3 linked regions of the Kluyveromyces lactis genome follow. The main gene of each other region encodes a partner of the protein of the gene in region 3 in a complex. Links are inferred from orthologs where the notes say so. Each region holds a gene or a part of one and is shown on either strand. Other genes may lie near its edges. The genes, in order: POP8, POP7 and POP5.

What was found.
Region 1: POP5 (region 3) and POP8 share a complex: the UniProt entries of both Saccharomyces cerevisiae proteins name them as parts of the nuclear RNase P and RNase MRP complex. The link is inferred for Kluyveromyces lactis from reciprocal best matches to the Saccharomyces cerevisiae genes POP5 and POP8.
Region 2: POP5 (region 3) and POP7 share a complex: the UniProt entries of both Saccharomyces cerevisiae proteins name them as parts of the nuclear RNase P and RNase MRP complex. The link is inferred for Kluyveromyces lactis from reciprocal best matches to the Saccharomyces cerevisiae genes POP5 and POP7.

What each region holds. Positions count from the first base shown.
Region 1 is NC_006041.1:921,043-929,500, forward strand, and holds POP8 (ribonuclease P), read right to left. Parts: upstream 3,297-8,458; coding exon 2,880-3,296; downstream 1-2,879. Other genes in the region: RFT1 (glycolipid translocation protein), read left to right, coding at 1-1,043; DNA-(apurinic or apyrimidinic site) lyase APN2, read left to right, coding at 1,315-2,814; PEP1 (type I sorting receptor), read right to left, coding at 3,659-8,359. UniProt on the Saccharomyces cerevisiae protein: Component of ribonuclease P, a protein complex that generates mature tRNA molecules by cleaving their 5'-ends. Also a component of RNase MRP, which cleaves pre-rRNA sequences.
Region 2 is NC_006041.1:2,186,658-2,195,111, reverse strand, and holds POP7 (ribonuclease P/MRP protein subunit POP7), read right to left. Parts: upstream 6,207-8,454; coding exon 5,796-6,206; downstream 1-5,795. Other genes in the region: Arf family GTPase ARL1, read right to left, coding at 7-558; UBS1 (Ubs1p), read left to right, coding at 1,452-2,183; TYR1 (prephenate dehydrogenase (NADP(+))), read right to left, coding at 2,416-3,753; DAL3 (ureidoglycolate hydrolase), read left to right, coding at 4,372-4,992; KLLA0_E24685g (uncharacterized protein), read left to right, coding at 5,163-5,717; PEX32 (Pex32p), read left to right, coding at 6,449-7,597; DPC25 (Dpc25p), read left to right, coding at 8,021-8,454. UniProt on the Saccharomyces cerevisiae protein: Component of ribonuclease P, a protein complex that generates mature tRNA molecules by cleaving their 5'-ends. Also a component of RNase MRP, which cleaves pre-rRNA sequences.
Region 3 is NC_006042.1:216,825-225,173, reverse strand, and holds POP5 (RNA-binding protein POP5), read right to left. Parts: upstream 1,146-8,349; coding exon 501-1,145; downstream 1-500. Other genes in the region: mRNA splicing protein PRP45, read left to right, coding at 1-425; ALA1 (alanine--tRNA ligase), read right to left, coding at 1,456-4,326; KRE5 (Kre5p), read left to right, coding at 5,083-8,349. UniProt on the Saccharomyces cerevisiae protein: Component of ribonuclease P, a protein complex that generates mature tRNA molecules by cleaving their 5'-ends. Also a component of RNase MRP, which cleaves pre-rRNA sequences.

The sequences.
Region 1 (8,458 bases), on a different chromosome or scaffold from region 3:
TTTTTGCATTTGCAGTTGGTAAGCTCGTTCACGCGATGACTTTACTTGCATGTTACTCCTACAATTATTACTCAGAGGTCTATACTACTGGAGAGCGTTATAGCTACAAGTTGACAAAAATCAGGCCTGAAACAAGACAAGAGTCATACTATTTCCAAAATGATACCGTTCAGCACTTCAAAAAAGTGTATTTCCAGCTATGCTTCAAGCATTTGTTAACAGAAGGTGATAAGCTAATCATAAATTCGTTGTGCACGGTGGAAGAGCAAGGTATATACTCTCTTCTTTCAAATTACGGCTCTTTGATAACAAGACTATTGTTTGCTCCGATTGAGGAGGCATTACGCTTGTTTTTAGCGCGCTTGTTAAGCGTATCGTCGAAGAAGAACTTATGGTTATCTATGAAGGTCTTGATTGACCTAACCAAGTTTTATCTGTACTTATCACTCTTCATTATAATATTCGGACCAATCAATTCGTCATACTTATTGAAATTTGTCATTGGATCTAAGTGGTCAAGTACCTCATTTTTAGAAACAATAAGAACTTACTGCTTCTATATTCCATTCCTTTCCTTGAATGGTATCTTCGAGGCGTTTTTCCAAAGTGTTGCCTCCGGTGATCAGATTTTCAAACATTCATACGTCATGATGCTCTTCTCAGGCATTTTCTTGTTCAACTGTTGGTTATTCATAGAATATTTTGACCTATCACTAGAAGGGCTCATTGTCAGTAACATTTTGAACATGGCTTTGAGAATAGCATACTGTGGTAACTTTATTCATAAATTTTACCATTACCTACTAAAAGAATCGTCAACTGAAACTACTCAATCAATCTTGCCAAACATTTCCACCTTCAAGAACGTTGCTCTCATCGCAGCCATAATCGGTGCCCTAGATTGGTATTTCATAGGCTATGTGGAAAATATGCGGGAACTACTTATTAACGTCATTTTGGCATTATTGTTACTTATTTTGGTGATTTACAAAGAAAAGAGCTTAATATCAGAACTGCTAGCTGCAAAAACCTATGCGGCATAATTAGTAACTAGTTAGTTTCCTTTTTAACGACATATCTCAAATTCAGTTAGTTCATGATTTATATACAGGTCTCATTTTTACATATAATCTTCATCTTACGGTCGATGTGCATTATTTGTAAGATGCTTGCTATTAAGATCCAATAATTCAATTAGATAACAAGAACTGCAGCACAGATGCTTAATAGAAAAAGAGAGTGAGCCATATCTATATACGTGCAACTGCTCTATATAGAAGATTACCAGAGAGTTATGTGCCTGAACCATTGATTATGGATGAAGTGAAAGATAAAACTGGAGTACGGTTCGTAACTTTCAATGTGAATGGAGTAAGAACTCTTTTCCAACATTATCCTTTTAGTAGGATGAACAATTCATTGAAACTAGCATTCGAGTTGTTTCAAGCAGATATAGTGACACTACAGGAATTGAAGATAGATGCTAAAAGTATATCTAAATGGGGTAAAGTGGAAGGTTACCAATCATATATTACTATATCTCAAAAGAGGAAAGGGTACAGTGGGGTTGGATGCTGGATTCGTACACCATCAGAAGATGATCCATTAAGACATCACTTAAAGGTCATTAAGGCAGAGGAAGGAATTACGGGGCTTCTCCGAGTGCAAGCTAATGGCATATCCTATCGTGAGAGTTCAGAAGGGATTGGTGGATATACTGGTTTGGATTTTGCTGATGAAAACGACCTTCTTGATATTGACAGCGAGGGAAGATGTATCATCATCGAATTGGCTTGTAATGTTGTTATCTTTTCAACATACTGCCCTGCTAACTCGTCACAAACCGAAGAAGGAGAATTGTCTCGGCTGACGTTTTTAAAGCTACTCTTCAAGCGGATAAGAAATTTGCACGGGTTAGGGAAGCATGTCGTGCTAATGGGGGACATAAATGTTTGCAGAGATTTGAAAGATCATGCTACGGCACTAGATGAATCATCTATTTCTTTATCTCAACAGAAGACGGGCTCTGAAATTGAAGAAAAGTTTAATGAGAAATGCGTTCAGTTCATCATGGACCCATCTCGCATTGGAAGAAGGTTGCTTAATACAATGCTATGCGATTCCATAATTTCAAAATATGCACAAGAGGGTATTTTAGTAGATTCTACGCGAAAGATACAGGGTAGGGACAGACTAAAAATGTATACAGTCTGGAATACGTTGTTAAATACTCGGCCGGTCAATTACGGTTCTCGTGTTGATTATATCTTTGTCAGCAAAGGATTAAAGGATAATATTACGGACGGTGATATTTTGACCACTATTATGGGATCAGATCACTGTCCAGTTTTTGCTGATATCAAGGTAGATAACCTCGAACTTAAACATGAAAGCTTCAATAAGCCAAAATTTGAGGCTGCCACGAGATATTTCTTGAACCATGGGAACATTTTAGATATGTTCCGCAAGGCCAATCGCAAAAGCACCAGTCCTTCCACGACAAGCACGGGCAAAGTAGTAAAACCACTGAATGTCAAGCAATATAACGGCATGAATGCTCTGGCCTCAGCAACAGTTTCCAAAGATCAAAACAAAAATGTATCGATACAGCCTCAGTCGCGCGTCAAGAGTGCACATATGAAGGCTTTCGAGGAAATGCTTGGAAAAGCACCAGTTTGTGAACATGGTGAAGAAGCTGTTCTTCGAGTCTCTAAGACTGACAAAAGCTTTGGTAAAAAGTTTTGGGTGTGCAATCGATCAAAAGGCGAAAAAGATGATCCAGAAGCATCTTGTGGCTTCTTTCAATGGAAGTAATCGTTCTTCCGTGTTCCACCATTCTGGGTTATTATTATTTTATGCATCAATATTTATGATTTAGTTTATAATCTTTCTTTTTCTTTGGATTCAGCTTCTATCTCGGCTTCGGATTCTACCAATTTCTTGAACCATATTCTATCATCCTCATGAACGGTCAATCCGGACAGGTTATTGCTTTGTTCGAGCACATTTATTATTAGTGAGGTACCGACCAACTCATCGCTCGCTATGTAAGTGCTTATGGCAGTAGTAAAAATATCAGTATCATTGACGCTTACCTTTGCAATAGTATCCAAATTATCCACGTATAATAATTCGTACTCAATTGCTTCGCCAAATACACCGTGAGATCTTTTCAAAGCTGTATTCAACATTTGAAGCCAAGTTACTTTATCCACTTGGATCTCATTGTCTTTTTCCGAATCATGCGACGTTACCTTTAGTTTAAAATAAAACCATTCTGGTTTGAACTTAGCCATGTTTGTTCCTTGATCCTTTTCGAAAAGATGAGAGATTAGACAAACTCTGAACACATACTACCGGAATCGAGCCGACATCAATATTCGCTTCTCTTGTATTGTTAGTTATTCTTATCCAGGTTTAAATTTCACATTTTCACATTGAAAAAGGTTTATTCAAAGATTAACTGATCAGAAAGACTGAAAAAATTTCAAGGTATGACACTCATATATGCCTCTATGTTTACTTTATAAAGATTATAAGCTGTTAGTAGTGAACTACCCGAAAGTTAAATTAAAATCCATTTTCTATACGAAAATTATGTATAATGTTAAAGAGTTCGAGTATCTTCAAAAACATAAACTAGGTAAGTGTTGATGTTTTAAGTTGACTCATGAGGATTCGCTTCCTCTGGGTTATCAGAATATGGTGCATGGGTTGGTGTATCAGATGAGAGGTCAACTTCTTCGTCGTTACCGATTTCAAAATTACCCTCATTCTCGATGAAACTTGCAAGATCGTCAGCATCTTCATCGTGTCCAACAAGTAAATCATCTGCGTCATCTAAAAATTGATCGTGTAAGAGGGATTGATAACTTGGACCTGTTGTGTTTCCAAATCTGCTTAAGCCTCTCTTGAAGAAATTCCCCACTTGGTGTCCGAAATATTGAAGACCGGTGTAAACATTAGAGAAGAGGAACACTCCGTTTCTAAGAACTGTGTTTACAGCTCTATCGGTATTGTTCTCTTCTATGAGGTCATCATCTCCTAATCTAATTTCACCGAAACGAGCAAACCCACCATTCCTCTTTATACCTCTATAATAAATGAATGACAGCATGCCAGTGAATATCAGAACAGCAAAGATCCATATTGCTAAGAATGATGTATGGTTTACTTTATACTTCTCTTTGAACTCTTTCTCTTTTCCTGGACAAGGGTGAGGACTATCAGAGTTAGCGAGCATCAATCCGCCATTGCAGGTAGAAAGAGCGATCTTTCTATAGCCAGTTGGTTCGAAGTATTCGATTAAGGAATTGTCTTTGGAGCAGATGTCTTTAGGATCTGCTGGTTTTAAGCCATCGATTAACTTGCAAGTACCATCAGACACACGCATGAAATTATAATCACATTCATAGTCATTTCTGGTACAGGAACAGTTTGCAAAAATCCTAAATTTATCTTCGAGAGGTGCCATGCCGACATAACAATCGTCAGACTTTTTACGTAAATATTTTGCCTTGTGTCCAAACAAGCACTCCTTGGTGTTAGGGTGACTTAATGAAATATATTCGAAATCTTTTAGATCATCTTTCGAATATTGACATTGACGTGAAAACATGTCCACAAAGTCCAACGTATAAGTTCTTGTTTCTTCGCCACGAACATTTACTGAGGATCCAATTACTAAGAATCTCATTGCAGAGTCTCTTGGGACAGTGACCAAATCATATACATTTATCTTTTCTGAAGCGAACTGGTAGTCTTTCCAAGTCTTTCCACCGTTTATGGAGTAGCTGACTGTATCAGTTGGTTCGTTATCTTTGACAAGCACCAACACACTTCCGTGATCACCATACTCCCATTGATAAGACCCTTTCTTTACCTCAGACCAAGATATACCGCCATCGTTGGTCATAAAAGTAGATGCTTCGCTCACCGGAGTCAAATATTCTCCAACATTACCCAAGGCAAACATATAGCCAATAGCTGAGCCAGAAGAATATGTATCCCTAACATCTTTTCGTTCTGTGAATCCATGAAGGTTTAAGGAACACTTTTCTAGGTTTTTTGGGTTGCAATTATACTTTTTACCTTCAGAATCCACAGATGGTGGCTTGATGTACGTCCAATCAGCACCATCATTGAAGGTTATTTTAGTTTTTAATTTCTTCTGTGAAGTTTTATCTTTGCTTTCAACTATTTCCTTCGCATTTGCAACAGTGTTGATCAATATTATCCCTTCAAGACCTTGAATTTTTTCAAAATCAACAAAGCCAAAGCTGTTTCTGTTGACTGCTCTTTCTAAAATGACAAAAGATGTACCTTCGGTATTAGACTTTAGTAATGCTCCGAATTCTTCATTCTTATCAAGGTTAGTCGTCATATGCATGAATATTGCTCCTTCCTGTGATCCAAGGACTGTGAAGGCTTTTTGTTCATAAGAATCAAGGTCTGCAGGTAAAACTGCTTCTGAATATTCCACACCATCTATGGTTAGGTATGCACGTAGTTGACGTTCACCATGCGACACTGCTACTACAATATAGCCACCAGTGGACATGAATCCTAAAATATCAGAATAGAGAACTGTTTGGGTTTTGAAATAGTCTGTAGAGGACACGTAACTTCTTGCACCGGTAGATTTGTCTTTTACCATACAAACAATGCCGTTTTCTACTCTTGGACTTTCTACAGCTGACTCCAAGAATTCACAATTTGAGGCTCCTTCCAAAAGCTTTTCGAAAGATGCCCCTCCATCTCTAGTAATGTATGCTACAGCATGGCAGTTAGGATCGAAAAAAGACTCGCAACTTTCACCGCCGTAGTAAATGAAAGTCTGAATATCTTTAGCATGGAAGGATAATGGGAAACCCAACTGTCTTCCTGCAGGAAGCTCGGTAACTTTAAATGAAAGCCCGTAATCATGTGTTGCGAATAAGTTTTTGTTTTTACCAAATAGATATGCAGATGAGTTGAAGAAGGGGTTGAAATTAATCTCTAAAATATCTTCACCGCCAGTTTGAATTTGCTTTATATTTTGACCACCATCGTGAGACACATATGCTTCACTTTTGTCTGTCCTGAAAAGAATTGATTCCCGTACGAATGTGTCAAAGTATTGATACGATTTGAATATCGATGAAAATTTGTTTTCGGTAACTTTTACATTAGATGGGGCAGGTACAGCAGCGCACGATATCTCCTCTTTTATGATATTTTGTGGTCTCTTACATTTAGTTGTTTTTGATATTTTCTTAGGTTCCAATTGAATACTCTTTTTACTTTCACATTTTTCCATGAGAGATGCTTTTGAAAAATCTGGTACGCATTTACCAGCTGAATCGATGGAGAAATCATCAGCGCATTCGTAGTCTAGTTCGCTACAGCCACACAATTCTTCCTCGAAAGTGAGATCTTTGTAAGTGGTCTTAATTAGACATTGAGCATCTTGCTTTCTTCTACGGAATTTGAGAATAGTACCGTCAACACATTGACCGTTAGAGTAATACCAATCTTCCATATCAGAAGTTTTACAGCTGGCACCCTTGAATGCATCGGAGAAATCAACGACGTAGGACACGGACTCTAGATTCTGGTAATCTTCAGACATAATTGTACCGACTAACATGAATGAATTTCCGGATCCGTCCAAAGCAGATGGTAATAATTCAGTTGGGTAGAACGATTTGTCAAGTTGGTACTCTTGGAATGTTTTCCCTTGGTCTAAGGAGAAGTAGAATTCGCTCTGCGGGTCTTTATCAGATTCTGGATCAAACGGCACTGCAAGAATGATATTACCGTAGTCACCCATTACAACTCTACTCGGGAAATCGAGTACCTTTTCCCAGGTCGAACCATCGTCTCTTGAAATAAAGGTACCCATTTTTAAGAAATCACCAGAGGGATTTTCTTCATATACATCACCAATGGCGGCTATAATACCAGGGCTGAAAATATCTGAATCACCTTCCACACCTCCACCATAAACGATGAACATTTGGAAACCACAGTCATTGGAGTCGCTATTGATATCGCAGTTGTAATTCCATTTACCTTCGGGATCACTTACTTTGAGCTTACTCCACGTATTGCCCAAATCAAATGACACCTTCGATCTAAAATCAAAAAATCCAAAATCCCGCATAGTATTGGTCCAAGTTGCGAACATTGTCTTCTTAACAAAGATAGACGTCGATAAAGTCAACGAAGAAGCTTTTTGTTCATCAAAACTCAAATGTCTGAAGTTCTTACCGTATGAATCTGAAATCAACGCTTCAATGGAACCGGAAAAAATATCTTCGAAAGGAGATTTATCTTCGTCATCATTATTATCACCATCCTTATTTCTTTCTCTATGGTAGATGGTAATAATTGCTCTCCCATCTATTTCGTTGACGTCCATTAGCGATTTACGAATCTGTGTTCCAAGGGATATTTGTTCAAACTTATCAGTGCTATCATCTTCCAATCTCCAGAGATTTGCGGCAGAATTTTCATTGAACCGATCTGATAATGTCAAGATAAATAGATGATTATCGGAAATGAACGTTGATGCTGGAGACAAATCCTGTAATTGTTCGGCAAACGGACTCAAACTCTTAAAATTAACATCGGTGATATACAACTTACTGGAAACATCTCCGAAAGGGGATAGTACGGTACTCTCCTGACAGATTACCTTGTCTTTTAATTTGTACAGTTTTGATTTTGATGATTTCTGTACGAATGAACAAAACATGTTTAAAGGGTTTGAATCATCATTACTTTTAGAACCAGAGCTGGCCAATTTGAAATTGTTACCATCTTTGGAATAAAACGAAATCTGCCTTAAGGTAAATTTACCATCCAGTTTACCTAGTTCATAGATATTGATAATTCTTGCATTCTTATTTGTGGGATGTGACTCGATTTCAACGTTGATAATCGGTTTACGATTTTCATCGCCGACGTTCGAATAATCAGAGAAGTCTATCTTATGATTATCTGCGTCTAGGAAAGTTAACTGTTTCCAAGATTTCCCTTTATCACCGGTAGCTAAAACGCCGTTTTCACCACTCAAATATGCAACATCTGCTTTATAAATCCGATCTAGTACCAAGTGATTCCATTCCTGAGGTTTGTTATCAGACGAAAGGGGCAATCCCACCGAATCCCAAGTAACACCATTATCCTCACTTCTATAAAGCTCAACACCACGAAGAAGTTTAAGAACTACTCTCGAATCATCAAATCCGAGGATAGACAAGCGGCCATGCGTGTCTACATCCGAATGGAACGATACCTTGGGTTTAAAATCCTGAGCCAAAACGGGCAGAAAGTTCCAAAGCCCCAGCCAAATAAGGATATTCCACCAAAACATGAGACAAAGACGTTAAAAGTACTGCAAGCAATGTAAAAGGGTTTCGTTTATATCGGTAATTGAGTATATACATGAAACACAAGCTAACTACCGCTAAGA
Region 2 (8,454 bases), on a different chromosome or scaffold from region 3:
CTACAATTACATTTGTTCTTCCTTAATCACGTCAATTAACCAATCCAAACCTTCAGTTATCCCTTCGCCCTTAATGGCACTGGATGCAACAATACTCCAGCTTCTATCCTTCAATTCTGCCAAGTTCAACTCCTTTGATACTTCTGACGCACTTAATGCGCCTGGTTGATCTTGTTTATTGGCAAATACGAGCAGAGCGGAGTCCTGCAATTCTTCTTCTTGCAACATGAGGTGCAATTCCTTCGAAGCTATATTCATACGGTCCTTATCTGTAGAGTCAACAACGAAGATAACTGCTGCTGTGTTTGCGTAATAACAACGCCAGTATGGTCTAATCGAAGTTTGTCCACCTAGATCCCACACGTTAAGTTTCAAGTTTTTATAATTTAACGTCTCTACATTGAAACCAATGGTAGGTTTTGTAGTTATCACTTCTCCTATCTGTAGTCTGTACAATATCGTCGTCTTACCAGCACCATCAAGCCCTAATATCAATATACGTAATTCTTTTTCCGCACCCAATAGTCTATCAAACATAGAACTAAAGAAGTTACCCATTGTGATATTTTATAAGTAATTGCTGTACTGCGGTCAATTCAAAGGTAGTTGGTAATTAAAGAAAAGGTGTATTAATAAGTCAATTAATAATTTAAAACCAAAACTTTTGTACTAGTTGATATGTAAAATTAGGAAGTACTTGTTCAAAATATTTCTTATTTGAGAACCAGTTACAGCCAAAATTCGAAACAAATAAACGAATAAACAGCGATCCAGACAGCGGTAAGTTTGTCTCCTGATGTGTAAACAATTTTATTGTATTCGTACTATAAGATCAGATAATGTCTTTGTAATGAGTGAAATATTAAATACAATGAAATCATAACTCCTAACCAATGCAGTGTGTTATTAATCACTCGATCCTGAGATTTTCCTTTCACTAAAATTGTAGTTGGCCTTTTAGTGGCCGGGTAACAACAAACAAAGAGACCCCATTAGACATAGTAAAAATTACTTGCGTATATAGTCTGTATCGTTCACATTGTCCTCGCTGTATTTTTTTGTTCAATCTCAATTTTTTATATATGCGAGTTTGTAACTGCAGAGAGCTCACATGAGGCATACCGGTACTGATTAATGCTCTGAATTTTCTTTCTTCTTCTATCTGTATAAACATATTCTACAATATATGAAGAATTTGTAGATCAAAAATGATAATCAGAGAAAAATAATAATAGAATATATTAATCTGATTTGTAAAAATACAAAACAGTAAGACTGCATACCTTTGCATGCAAAGCTAAGGGTAACGTGATTATTATTGGATATCTTAACTACTATATTGCCAACTAAGTGTGGTAATATATCATTATTGGAAAGGCTTTTCCATTGCCTATAATTGTTATTCTTCACTACTTTTTTTTCTTTCAAATAGCAGGCCACATCCACATAAGATGCATCCGTTGTACAGGAAACTCCTTAGGGAATGGAAACGTTTGAGCCATTATAAGCACTCTACATGCCATATCAAGCCACAAGAATCAAATTTGCAGTTCTGGAATATAGTACTACATGACGAAAGCCGAGATTTGGAACTTTACTGTGTTGTTTTCATAAGCCACAAGCCTATGAACGAATGGGAGCCTATCATACTATTAAACTGTTTGACACCTAATCCCTGCATACCTGTGAATAAGACTATCTGCTTGAATCATCTCTCTCCTGTTCTTCTGAACTATGGGTTGTGCTCCTTTTATGAGCATTTGTTATCATCAATTTATAGTCGCTGTACTAATATCACCGATTATCATAAAAAATTGGCCATGGCTTGGAACAGAATTATGGTAAAGGAGTTCAAGAATTTCTCCCCGCGACTATTCGAGTCTTACTCGGTGACTCAAACAGACGTTCAGATGGTAAACGAATATTTGCAAACGCAGGCTCAGTCACAACCTAATCATACAAAAAGAAACTCCCCGAAATTGCATAGTAAAAGCCCAACCCCGGTAGATACCCATAACCACATAACAAACGAAGACTGTTCGGAACAGTTATACAGGGGAAAGAGGCAAAGAACCGGGTTGAGCTCTTTTATGAGTGTGAGTCCACTCACAGAACCGAATCTCAACAACTTGGAAACCTCTGAAGATTGTGACTTTTTAGAAAGTAGAAAACGCAGGCGATAAAATAAAACTTTCTCTGAAACTATTAAGTTAGTCACCTTTCCATCCAATGAAGCTATTTTCATCATCCTTCTAATTTAATGCATGGCGTCTATATAGTTTATGGCACATTATGTGAGGATTTATCTTCCGATCGTATCGAAGTTTTAGCAATAAATTTCTCTCACAGTACTTATGTATATCATTGTATATCATATATATACATATATAACATAATCTATCAAGCGTAAACATATCATAAATTTTTACTTTTTGAATGCTCAAGAATAGTCTTAATCATTTCGTTGCCAATAGCATTTGCTTCTGGAAACATTGGAGTGAAAAATTGTTGTACCTCTTCAAATTGTCTCTTATAGAGTTCGAAGTTACCAAAAGAGACGATATTAGACCACGACCTTGCAGCTATGACGAATTCCATATCATCCGCTCTGAACTCTGGTACGTTAATCGCAGCATCGATAGTCTGTTCTAGTAAACCATCTGTTAGGAATAAGTATTCGCTAACCCCCAAGAAAATTCTGAATAAAGGAGTACTGCAGATCATATGATCGTAGGGATCAATTCCCAATTGGTACCAACTATCGACAATTGCTAATAGAGATAAATGAGAGTTTGGTATCACTTCGTTATCTTCACCTTTTTCATGTTTTGATAATGAGTAATCATCAAGAGCTAGATCGTGTAATAGTAACAAGCCATTGTGGTTACCAAATACAAAATCTTTGGCGACTTGAAGTCTTTTAGTAAGTTCATCTTTCTTCCCTTCCACGAAAAGGGTAAAAAGCTCGGTAGCACTTTTAGCGTATTGTGTGATTTGTTTATGAGCAGCAGGGTTTGTTAAGGCTAACCCCGCATATACATGCCATTTATTAGAATAGATTCTTAAGGAGATATTCACTTTGACATTCTCTAGACTTCCATGCCACTTATTGACTCCAAGCGTCCATGGGTAGATTCGTATCTTATACCAAGCAACCCCCATACTTAAGAATGCTGCGTGCGTTACTGCTTGGGTATCTGCAGTAATTTTATCATGTTCCTCGTAAGATAAATAAACATGTTGGCTCTTCAAACAAGACATCAAAGATTCTACCAAGTCAAATGATTCCTGAGATTTAGTTCTATGGTTTATTAGGACTAACGGCTGTCCTTCTGTATTGACCTTGGGACCATGCAATGAGTGTACAGATACAATCTCACAGTCCGAAGGTAAATATTTCTCGAAAGCGTTGATTTCCGCATTCTTGCAACTGGTTTGTCCTCCGACAATCGAGCCTACCTTTGACGCTGCGCCATACATCTTCACAATATTTTCGATATTCTCGGCCTCGACTGAATAAATGATATAATCACTAGCTCTTGACACTAGTGTACCATTCTCAACAACATTGAAGCTTTCTGAGGAATACTTTTCTTTCAATTCTTCGTAAAATTCTGGTCTATCGCAGCAAATAACCCGCCAACCAGCTTTGGAAAACCTAGTAGCATATAGAAGTCCCATATCACCTAATCCAATGATACCGATGGTTTTTTCATGTTTCCACTTAGCAATTTGCTCGTCTGTACCTATCATTTTGAATCTGTGTTCGCCTTGTATTAGATGAATCCCAATGAGTCTTGTCGAAGAAGGTGGTCCAAAAAGAAGTCCAGAATGTTTGATGAGACACTAGGTATGGTATACACTGATAATAATGAACAAGTGACAGACTCTTGAATTCTGGTTTTGTCTAGTTTTTTCCTTATGACTAGTATTGATCATAAATTGGGTTGTGTTTATAAGAAGATACTTTAAAAATCTTGGAATTGGTTCAGTTACATAAAATTGAACTATAAGTCAAGATAAAGATCTAAATGCCGATGATGCGTTGACCAGACACTACTTCGTCTCAAAACTATATACACATAGTATCTAAAGTAGTACGAAAGTTTGATTAGATGTATTACTGTCAGTAGTGGGCTGCTGTAGTATGCTTTTTTTTTTCACTGTAAGTGTATTGGTAACGGAATTGACCGACAGTAATGTCATCAATCACAGTTGTGGTTGCTAATCAAAAGTAAGAAAGTTTAGCGCGAGCTATATATTATATATATGTAACTGTATTTCAATGGGAATAGGAAGAAGTTTTGAGCGCGGTGTATTTTAAATGTGTAACGCCAGGCGGTCGATATATGGTGCCTTACCCAATTAACAATGCAATGTATACCTGTCGTTCCCTTATCTATTACTGCTTTTGAGGAATTCGGTTCAATTGTGTCTCCAGATGAAGAAGTCAGAAGGCTTGACTCATCTCAAAAGAATGCCAACCAGGGAACTGCCATTAAGCTATTACAAGTCAGCCATATAGAGAACCAGTTCCCTCAGAGTTTAAAAGTCAAGAATCCAAGTTGTAACCTATTCCGGTGCTTTCCCAAAGGCGCTCTACAGAAAAGATTCGCTTTAGTTGATTCCGACGGTTCTTTAAAAAAGTATCAGCATGAAATCAAAGTTCTAGAGAAACATCCGTTCTCTACTCAAACTTTCATTCCCATGGGCAGAGATATCAAAAGCGGATATGCTTATCTTGTGGTGACCGCATTACCCGACAAAAACGGTGAACCTGATTTACTTACACTACAAGCATTTTTATGTAAATCAAACCAAGCTGTTACTTACGGTGCTGGAGTCTGGCATGCCCCCATGATAGTGGTTGGTGAAGAAGAGTACCTCGACTTTACAGTAATAATAAATGAGTTACACGACCATAATCAGCTTCAGTATGATTTAGAAGAGCGTTTCTACGATAGTCAACTGTCCTTGAATCTGTACTACTGAGATATATATATGTTCTACATCTTATTTAAGTTCATCGTCATAGCTTTGACTGAAAAAAAAAAAAAGAATGAGTAATTTCAGTCCACATCGCATCAAATCGCAAGTGTAAAGGAAGCAGTGTGCATGAAACCGTTGAAGTGCATCTGAGGCAAGAGAAGTGATACAGTGTTATGCTTCGAAGAATGTCAGAACTGGTTTCGAGTTTTTCTGGCCTTCACATTGCTTCGGCTGGTTCAAAATCGGTTGTGACTCCAAGTGATAATGCGGACCTTACAAAGGGTGGTAGAAGGAACCAAGCATTGACAAAACCGATCACCATCGATAGTAATACAGGAGAGGTACTGGTTAGGAAAACAACAGGTAAAACGAAAGTAAGAAGAGGTCAGAGCGCGGAAGAATATAAGGAACAACTTAGACAGTATTTCTTGGAGGAGAAAGGTCCAACGAGAACTGAGGAAGATGCCTTGAAGATGGAAGATTTTGATCTGTTGATTGAAGATGAGAGTTTTGACTATGCATTGAAGCAAGTACGACAGAAAATGGTCTCTTATGCTCAGAAATATTATTACGAAAGAGATTACATGAAGTGTTTAAAAGTATCAGAGCCGTTATTGCATAAGTTCGAGCCGTTCAATAAGAAAAACAAGATACGCAGAGAGTTAGAAGAACTCAGATACATGATCGAAAAGTCAAAAGCAAGGTTGGAATTGCAACCGTCCCGCTAGTATTTGATATGTCTACACTGAAATATCTATGTAACTCTATATTAATGTGCGCTTCCCATACTAATATTGATTACGCAATTATACAGGACTTATACGCACTTCAACACCGCTCAAAGTACGCTTTGTCAGTTCCGTTTCCCTGTCCTCTGTTGAAACCTCATTTCCATCTTCATCTTTACCATCATCAGCGAATACCTCATCCAAAACATCTAATGTCTTCGTTAATATGTCAACTTTGTAATCACCCATTGTATTGAAGTGTGCAGCAACTGATAGAGTTTTGAAAACAGCTTTACCCATGCCCAGTAGTGTAATGTATTCACTTTTACGTCTATGCAGGTTGGAAAGAAACCTGTTGGTTCGTTTCACCACGGAAATGTAAGGCGATGAGCTCTTCACGTAGATTGTAGTTTTAATTTTATCATGAGAAAACGTCTTCACTGTCGGAAGTTTTCTTCGTAACTGATTTAAATCCTTAGTATTTCCCATAACGTGGTGTTGTAAGGTTTTTTCGAACGCCCACGAAGCAGATTGCTTCTCTTGTCTTCTTAGAAAAGCCGTTTCTCTTGTTCACTTCTTCAGGCCAATTCAAAATCAGAGACTTTAATTAAAAGGAAATATAGATTACAATACCGATTGTGCAAATAACAAGTAAAGGGCAAGAAAAGAAAACGGCGTCTGGATAAGCTCAAAATCGGTTATTAGTGCATACAATATTGTTCAGATGTACCATGAGCAACAAGAAACTTCATGTCAGATTTGTTTCTAAATCGAAATCAGTTAATCCCCCATATAAACCACAAGACTTAGAGCCCATTACAATTGCATGTCTTTATAGATTATATCCTTGGCTCCTACTGCTGGACCAGTTATTGGATAAACTTATGTGGCATATTGACGATGTTTCCTTACAGTTGATATATATTATATTGCTATGTTACTCAACAGCGTTGGTTGTACCGAAGAATACTTCCTTACTTTTCCAAGCGTTTGATATATGGTTGGGGTACACAAGCGTATTCATTCTTGCTGGCACTATGTTTTATTACAATTATACGCTATGGAAAGAGCTTGAACAGAGCGAAGCACCCACAATAGATGAAATCACTCATACTTTGGACTCTGTTCTTGAGAAGCTTAAAACGGTTCAAAATGAAGTCCTCGGTACAGACAAGGTAAGAAAACTTACTAATATCAATTCACAAACCTTTAAGATAGTGGCTCTTCTGACAGTAATTCATTTAATTACCGTTAGTTTTTTGGATGTACGAACATACTCAGTGCTTGTCATTAGCCTTGTCTCCGTGTTCCATTCAGTGTATTACCAGAGCACGATGAAACTCCTATGGAGGTATTTGTGGATAAGGCGATGTTACTATTATATATGGGACAGCGTACCATCGGAATCCAAACTGGAAACCAACTTTCAACAATACAAGGTGATTTGTGAGAGTCAAGTCATTCCATTCCCTAAATCTCTACAAGGCTTGAAGGGCCAAGAGCTACAGGTTCAACTACAAATGTTAATCCTTCAGGATCCAACTAAGATTGATCCAGAATCCGATTACGTACACGTCAAGATCATCGAATACAACGTTGATGAAAACGAGAGAAAATGGAAGCAAGAGGGCTGGACCCCAAAATTGCTACCTTACGAAAGAGCTCACTTCTCTAATTCATTCACCCAAACTCCATCTGTAACACCATGGAAGTTCCACGAAGAACTACCTTCCGATTGGATCTGGATTGAATCTACTTGGGTACCCGGCAGCTGGCAATACTGTGATGCAAAATGGAATTTATTAGGTGCGAACGATTCGATTGCATGCTTCACTCGTAGAAGAACTTGGAAACGAAGAGCGTTCAAGATACTAACCTGAAGTTGGTCAAGTGGAAACTCCGTTTTTGGCAGTCGAAGTACAGCTCGAGAGTGTAACCACATATATATATATATATATATGTATATCTACGTAGTTTTGTAAAATGTTGCTGGATACATGTAATCACAATTTATTTATACATGTATACTCACATCACTGTACTGTCAAATAGGGTGCTAAGGATCTACGACTGCTATCTCATCTTGTTTTCTGAACCTTCCTTTCATGCTTTTTAATCATCATCACCGATTATGGCAACCGATACTCTAAAAAAAAAAAAAAAATCCCAATGAAGAGAAGCATTTAAAGTTTAGACAAGATAATAATCACGGAGAATAATACACAAATCAACATTGACAATCGTCAATAAGTGCGTATCAAAACGCTGTCGATAGTATCCTGCATAAGATCTATATTGCTGTGATGATACGTATAGCACCACCTTTGAGAAATGTCAGATATATATTTACTGCCAAGCCAGTGCAAATGACTTTTGAGGGCAACACCGAGGGGGTATACGGAAGTGAGGAGGAAAGGATGAGATCTGTATTCGGGGGTAGACTTAAGGGCGAGCCTCCACGTTCTACTAGTAGGTTTTTGACCTCGGAGAATATGAGAGAGATAGCTGGAGTCAAGGTACCGTCCAAACCCATAGAACCAGACAACTGTTGCATGTCCGGTTGTGTCAATTGCGTTTGGGAATTATACAATGATGATTTGAAAGATTGGAAGTCAAAAAAAAGAGAGGCAGTTAAAGCTATATCAGGTACTGATGAAGTGTGGCCTGCCGACTTCCATCCACCTTTGAAAGAACTGGATATGAAAAATGTCCCAAAATCGTTGCATAAAAAGAAGGA
Region 3 (8,349 bases):
GCGAATTGGAACGGTCGAATAAAATGAGCACAGCAGAAAAGTTAAGACGATTGGCGTACCAACAAGGAAGAGATGTTTCTGATAAAGTTGTTTTAAATGCTGCAAAAGCCACCGAGACCCCAGATCTTCAGTACGATTCCCGCTTGTTCAAGAAAGCGGCATCATCTGTGGCATCATCTTCAAATCAAATTTTCGACCATCCATTGTTCAATAATAGCCAGATTGACAACATTTACAGGCCAACTACTGGTTCTAACTTAGAAAACGAAGATATTGTTGATCGACTCTCAAATAAGAAAGGAAGAACTGGACCGGTAGAGTTCTCCGCTGCTGATGATGGCAAAAATGCGGAACAGAATGAGGAAGATAACGAGCATGCCAGAGAATACGGTCTTCAAGTGCGTAAGAAGCCTCATACTTCTTAATTGTGCGATACCGATATACTGATATAATTGTATGTAATAATATTCAAGCACTACTAATTGAATGAAATCAGCGAATCAGTCATTATTTTCATCGTCAGTGATTGAAGAAAACTCATCATTCCTATCATCTGTCAGAAGTATTCGGTTCAAACGGTGACTTCTTCTGATAGCAAATAACTCAACTTTTTTAATAGTTCCGCTAACTTTTATTGGATTCATTATGATGGGCCCAACAGATTCAATCTGGTTCATCAAAGCAAGTGCCATTATTACGTACTGATGGTCATCATGGCCACATCGTATTATACCGGTTGATGTTCTATTCGAAAAGTATTTGATCTGTAACAAAGCCGTAGCCTTTCCCAAGCCATAGTCCCCGAAATTCACCTGTAATTGTTTTCGTAGTTCCTGCAAAATATTTCTCGGACTGATAGTATTTGGTGATACTTTGTGATGCGTGGTTAAAATGTCCTTCTTGGTTATATCTGGCACTGTTTCGTACTCATCATCTACATCTGGATATAGTACTTCGAAAAGAATGTATCTGCTCTTTAAACGAACCATTGGATTTCTTCTATTTTGCCTATTATGACAGCAAGTTTTATTAATAGTAGGATGAAACCCCCGAATAAACGTTGTTGCACAACCGTCCTTTATCAAAATCTTGATTCCTTCACAGTTGATCTCCATCATAACTCTAAATCTTGTAATGTGAAGCATCTCTCTTTTTTTTTTTTTTTTTTTTTTTTTTGGTTTGTCGCATTCAAGTCACAGAAGAAGAACGAGAATACGCCAAGCATGTCCAATATTTTATGCATTATTGCCGCATCACCAACCTTAACTAACAGATTGTGTAAATATCAGATAATTCATTCTCTATATAACAAAAGGCGTAGCATATCTTTCAAGTAATATCATATATAGTTGAGTTGAAAATCAGAGTTCTCATGCATATATTTACAAAACTTTGAGACTTGAGATTAACTTCAAGCCAATCGTAGCCAAAGAGTTTATATTAAAGCGGGTGAAATTAGATAGTCAGTCTCTCTTTTAGCAAGGCTTCAACTTCCGCAACAGCGGAGTCAATACCGTTTGGTTTGTCACCCATACCTTGGAAGACATTTCCCTTACCACCAGCTTTACCACCGATGCTAGAGGATACTGTTTTGGCTAAACTAGAACCATCAACACCTTGAGCAATTGCTGCGTCAGATATGTAGCATCCGTGAGCAACCTTTCCGTCTGGTTCATTACAAGTGAATAAGTAGATAGACTTGTCCTTCGAGTTTGTTTTAATGTGATTGATAGCTTCAGTGATGGCCTTAGCATTAGTTGGAATGTCAATATGCTTGACGTAGAAAGAAGACTCTTTGTTAGCATCAAAGTGATGTTTGACGTCGTCCAGAGTTTGTTTAATTTCCTTCTTAGCTCTAGATTTCAGTTCATCTTTAACTTCCTTTTCAATTTTGTTGAATTTATCCTTCAAGTCAGTTTTGGTGATAACGGAAATAGTTAGTTGGCCTAGTCTGACACCTAGCTCCTTTAGCTTTTGGGCCTTTAAAGGGGAGAAAGGCAGTTTTTCAACTGCAGTTAATTCGCCATCAAATTCAGTAGCAATTCTTTGTACTTCATAGGCTTCAGGTCCAGAAACCGCAACAATTCTTCTGATACCTTTGGCAATACCACTTTCTTCAACAATGACGAATTCTTTGATGTCACTAGTCTTAGCAACATGGGTACCACCACAGAATTCAATGGAGTACTTTTGCCATTCTTCACTAGTTGGGTTCTCTAGGACTTCTTCAACGGCCTTACCAATAGAAACAACACGAACTGGATCCGGGTAAGTTTCACCGAAGACAGCACGGACAGAAGAGATAGTCTTAGCCAAATCTAAGGCAACTTCCTTGTAATACACAGTTAAGTTGTCCCTGATCTTTTCATTGGAGAGTTTTTCAACCTCCACTAATTCCTCATAAGATAAGGCTCTCTTGTGCGAGAAATCGAATCTCAACTTTTCCGGTGCAACTAAGGAACCCTTTTGATCGACATCATTACCCAACACTTCTTTCAGAGCAAAGTTCAAGATATGTGTACCAGTGTGATTATTTCTTAGGGGATGACGACGTAGCTCTTCGTAAGAAGCAATTATACTGTCACCAATAGATAGTTTACCGTCACCAAGAGAACCGGTATGGAAAACATAACCGTTGTAGGCTTGAACATTGTCGACGTTGAATTCTGCTTCACCATCGATAACCAACTTACCTGTATCGAACTCTTGACCACCTTGTTCGGCATAAAAACAAGTTTTGTCTAGAATAACACCATATTGCTTACCAATTTCGGTCATAGAGTCAACGAATTTCTCACCATCATATATTCTCAAAATAGTGGCTTCAACGTTTTCGGTCCCATACTTAGATGAATCATCAGTCTTAGCGACATTATCACCGTTAAGTTGAGACAATTCATGAACGTTTAATCTGATCAAATCAGATGCACCCTTCTTACCACCTTTCTTAGAAGCCTCGTATGATTCCTGTTTAGCTTTCTCAAAACCGATTGTATCGATCTTTAAGCCCTGTTCTTCAGCCATCAATTCAGTCAAATCGACAGGGAAACCATAAGTATCGTATAGTCTCCAGACTTGTTTACCATCCAAAGTCTTGTCTGCTTTCTTCAAAGCATCTTCAGCATACTTTTCAAACAATTTTTCACCACGGTCTAAAGTTTTTGCGAAAGAAGCTTCTTCTTCGTCCAAAATTTCGAACAAATAAGATGGGTCTCTAGCGACTTCTGGGAACATATCCTTAACTTGTTCGATTAAAGTGACAGACAATTGTGAAAAAAAGTTTCCTATAGGGTAGTTCATGTACTTTCTAGCGTAACGTGCACCACGTCTCAAAATTCTTCTCAAAACGTAACCTCTACCTTCGTTGTTAGGAACACCACCATCAGCCAAGGCGAAAGTTAACGTACGAACATGATCAGCCAAGACTCTGTAAGCGGTGTCAATACCATCCGTATCCTCAGCACCAAATTTACCAGTGTATGATCTGACCCCAGTGATTTCTTGGATACGGTTGAACAAAGGTTCGAAAACGTCGGTGTCGTAATTAGATCTAACATCGTGCAAAACGGACACCAATCTTTCGAAACCCATACCAGTATCGACATGTTTAGCCGGTAGAGCTCTTAGAGAACGATCTTGTTCTCTGTTGAATTGAATAAAAACGTTATTCCAAATTTCCAACACATCTGGATCGTCTTGATTAACAAGATGAGCAGCGTTTCTACCACCAATTCTGTCATAATGAACTTCAGAACAAGGACCACATGGACCTTGTTCACCCATTTCCCAAAAGTTATCCTTGGCATTACCTGGCAAGATATGATCATCCTTGACGCCAACGGATTTCCACAAATCACGAGCTTCGAAGTCTGGTTCCAAACCCAATTTTTCGTCACCTTCGAAATAAGTGACGTACAATCTATCACCTGGAATACCGTAGACTTTGGTCAACAATTCCCAAGAGTATTCAATAGCTTCCTTCTTGAAATAGTCACCGAACGACCAGTTACCCAACATTTCAAAGAAAGTGTGGTGGTAGGAGTCTCTACCAACATCTTCCAAATCATTATGCTTACCACCGGCTCTGATACACTTTTGAGAGTTCGTAGCTCTCTTCAACTTGTAAAAATCACTGGATGGGTCAACTGTTCCCAAAAAGATTGGCTTATACTGATTCATACCAGCATTGGCAAACAATAAAGTTGGATCATCGAATGGAATCACGGGTGAAGATGGAACAAAAGTATGGCCCTTAGACTTGAAATAGTCCAAAAATGTGGAACGAACGTTGGCAGCCGTCCACTTAGACTTATCACCAATCGTCATCCTAGCTGTAAAACTGGAAAATAACCTGCAATTAACGCGAAACACCTTTCCTAAGGACGTCTTCGAAAGCAAATTCTAATCAAGAACGGGAAGATTTAATCAAACCGCTAAAAACGATGAGTAATGATTAAATTAACGACTTGAAACAACGGGAAAAAAGTTCAGAAATCCCCCTAGTTCTCTGAATATGCCGCCTAAGGTTTTCAATAACTTTCGAATACAACAAACGAAAGAGCAGTAGTAGCCTCTGAACCTGAGTCCAAGCCTTCTACTCATCCGTTTTTATGTATAAGTTAATTGTTCAAAAATTCCAGAATATCTTCAAATCACTTTTTGATATTTTTCTCAACGCTTTCCGTTTCACAGATAGATAGAGCCAATGAAGAAAGAAACTAGGAGTCACGTGAGAAATACACTCACGTGACTCTTCATTCGAAAGTGGCTGAAGCTACCTTGCCAGTGGATCTGATAGACATGCGTAAAATCCCATAGTACTAGCTTAGGGAGTAGCATTATAGTAATGGTGAGGTTTACAAATTCTATAACATGTGTAGGACTTTAACATGCTTCATATTTCCAGCTTAAAAGTTTTTTATTGGCAGAAGATCCCGCAAGATTTTTAAGGTTTATATTTGCCTTCTATTAAGATCAGAATTCGAGATGAAAGAGAGTATTTAGATCAGCACAATTTGACAGTTTGTGTTCCAACAAGATTGAGTGAACGAGTTTCCTGATCTAAAACGGTGCAAAACCACGATGGTCTTGTTTAGGTTACGAATTGTGTTTTTGCTGTTAACTGTCCTGCACATAACGCAAGCATTTAATGAAGGAATTGGTAAGAGATGGCTTTCAGCGTCCCTTGTTGATTACGATGCATTGTCTACCGACCAATGGATGCAGTTGTATAGAAAAATAACGTTAAGTGATGAAGAAGAGGATGAAGAAGATGAAGATGACGATGAAGGAATTGAGGAATCTATAAGTTCAGCTTCGGCTGAGAAAGTACAACAAGTCGAAGGCTTGTCCGGTGCCATTTCAAAATATGTACAGATTGCACCAATTGATGATGAATTCAAAGAAACTTGCTTTGTTTTGAATGGCAAAATATACTCTAAGAGCGATGACTCATTTTATTTCAAGACCTCTGAATTGGATGCTCAAGCTCTTGTTCCAGATTTCGATGTGTTAAAAGATAGAGAGATTGCAATCGGAACTAATGCTTCTGCTCCAATTGTGGTACTTTACGGTTGTGAAACAGATTTAGAGTTTGCTGATTTCAACAGAAATCTTTATAATGAGGCTAAGTTTGGTAAGATTAGAATGACTTGGAGACCGACCTGTATCATAGGTGATACACCAGAATATGCATTGAGTGCCACATTATCGGACAAAAACTGGGACCAAAAGGCAAATGTTCACCTTGTAATCGATGATTCTGATCTAAAAATTAAGGATCCAGTCAAATTGAAATACTTGGATCAAAAGGAACTAGAAGATTTGGATATGAAATTCACCGCGTTATTGTTGGAGAAATTCAATGAAGATCATGATTTCGATTCTTTCTTTGAATATTTCAAGTCGTTGTCCTACAATTTTCCTGCAGTGGCACCAGTCATTGCTTCTAAAGACAACATTGATACAACACCAGCAAAGAATATTGTTAAAGACTTCAATAAGAGAAAAATCTCTCATGAATTACTTGGCTTGTACATCAACGGCCAACAGTGGAGATTGTCAGAATTAGATGAAACTACTTTACCTGCTATCCTCGCTAAGGAATGGTCTAGGGTTAATGATTTAAAAGAAAAACTAAGTAAGTTCCCCGGTGCTGAGTTAGAGAACTTTTTGAAATATTTCACGGTTGGCTACTCATATACGGCTTACTTTGACAAAAATCGTTACGATTTCTATCGTACTCCAGGTTTCTCTGAAGCTGTAGTTTTCTTCAATAATTTCGAGAAGGATGAGCTATATAAGGACCTGCCTGAAGACAATATGGCGTTTTTGGAACCATCTGATTTCGAACCAATTCCTAGCATCAAGCAGAATTGGAATGAGCTCATCTTTTTTATTAACTTTGACGATATGACACAATTCAAAGATGACGGTGCTGTAGGATCATTGTTACAAGCAATCGATCAGATGGAAACTGGATATCCTATCAGGTTGGGCTTAATTCCATTTTCTTCCTCTGGATCGAACTCTGTTGTCGATATGATTTATAAATTGAAGTCGGAATCTGACAAGCCTCTGCAGTCGATAATAGATTACTTAAGAACTCTTATTGGACACTCTGAAAAAATTCAACCTCAGACAAAACACAAAGGCAGTGCGTATGATGAATACCTTGAGAGATTCAAAATAGCAGATACTTGCATAGCAATGAATGGTGTACTTTTACCATTCCAAGCTAAAGCATGGAAGATTCATACTTCAAGGATATTATCCGCCGATATCGAGTATTTGAAGTCAGAATTGCAGGCCTTGGGTGATTCATCTAACCTATCAGTAAGGCAACTTCTTCACCATAGGTCCTTGACATTGAAAAATCCGGTATACATACCTAACCGTATGCTGGATGAAACCTTCACCAGAGTTAACAACCGCGCTCTACATGTACTCGGTAGTCGCACGATAATCTTTTCTGATCCGAATCAAAAGACTTCACCCATTCATACTATCACTTTAGTCGATGATTTCAACTCTTATAGCGCTGTTCAGAAGATACGAGCCCTACTAAGGAACAATCACAAAAGTGTTAGTTTCAGACTAGTTCACGTTGGTGATTTGTCAAAGAGTTGGGATAATTTTAAAATGGAATTCAGCACAGGGAAGTTGTCAGGTAAAATAGCCTCTAAGACGACTGTTAATTTCATTGTTGATCCCTTTTTGAATGTTTTAAGCTCTTGGTTGCCGGATATTTCTATTAAAGCTCTTCGTAAACCATTTGCAGTAATCAATGGTAAATTTTTCAATACGGATGACGATTTGTATTCTGTTGAATTATGGCACAACATTTTGGTTCATCATTCTTCGCGCACCCTTGATGTATTGAAGACACTACATCACATCGGGGCGTTGGACGAAAACATAATGAACCCATCTGCTATCGAGGAACTTACTGCTGCTGTTATCAAATATGTACATCATGGTTACCTTGTATTGAATAACGGAATACCTTACACTACAGAATCCTCAATGCCTCGAGTGAGTCTTTCTGAGTTAGAAGAATACACTATCACTAGCCGCTCTGATCAATCTGTAATCAACGTCACTCTATTGCTAGATCCTGTTGAAGAAAGGACACAGCGGTTGTTATATTTGTCAAGTTTATTGAAAGACTTGCCATTTGTAAAAACAGAGGTTGCATTGGTACCGACAGCCAATCTAACATTGAACCCAGTGCATAGATTCTACAATGCTTCAACCGGGATATCAGATAATGGATTCTTATCAGAATTTGATTATCCTCATAACATCAACCCAGATGACAAATCAATAATTATTGAAGCCCATGTATTCGATGAAGGTGACGATGTGTCAATTGACATTATTGATGGTCTGGCCGGTGTATGCTTGCAGCTAATGGACAACGCAGGAAATGTTATCGATAAAGGTCTTTCGATGAAATCATTTGGATATGTCCAATTATCATTACCTAGCTTGCAAAAGGGATTGAAGTTGGAAAACTGTGATTCAAGTTACGAGATTACAGCATTGTCGACAATGGCAGAAGCAAATTATATTGAAGTAGAATCCTTTGATGTTGATAACTCATTGCCTACCCAAATTCATGTCAAAGTGAGAAAGACTACTGCGGAAATTATGAACGAAAAAGACGACAGAGTGAATGTAATGGTTGTCGTGCATGATGGACAAGAAAGTGTGGCCGTTAAAAGAATTGAAAGAGTCAAGAAAGAAATTGGCGACAAAGCAAAATTTTATATTTTAGCTCAGAGACCTAAGTTAATTGTCCGAGAAATGCCAGCTTCAGTTGACTATCATTTGTTAACGTATACTTGG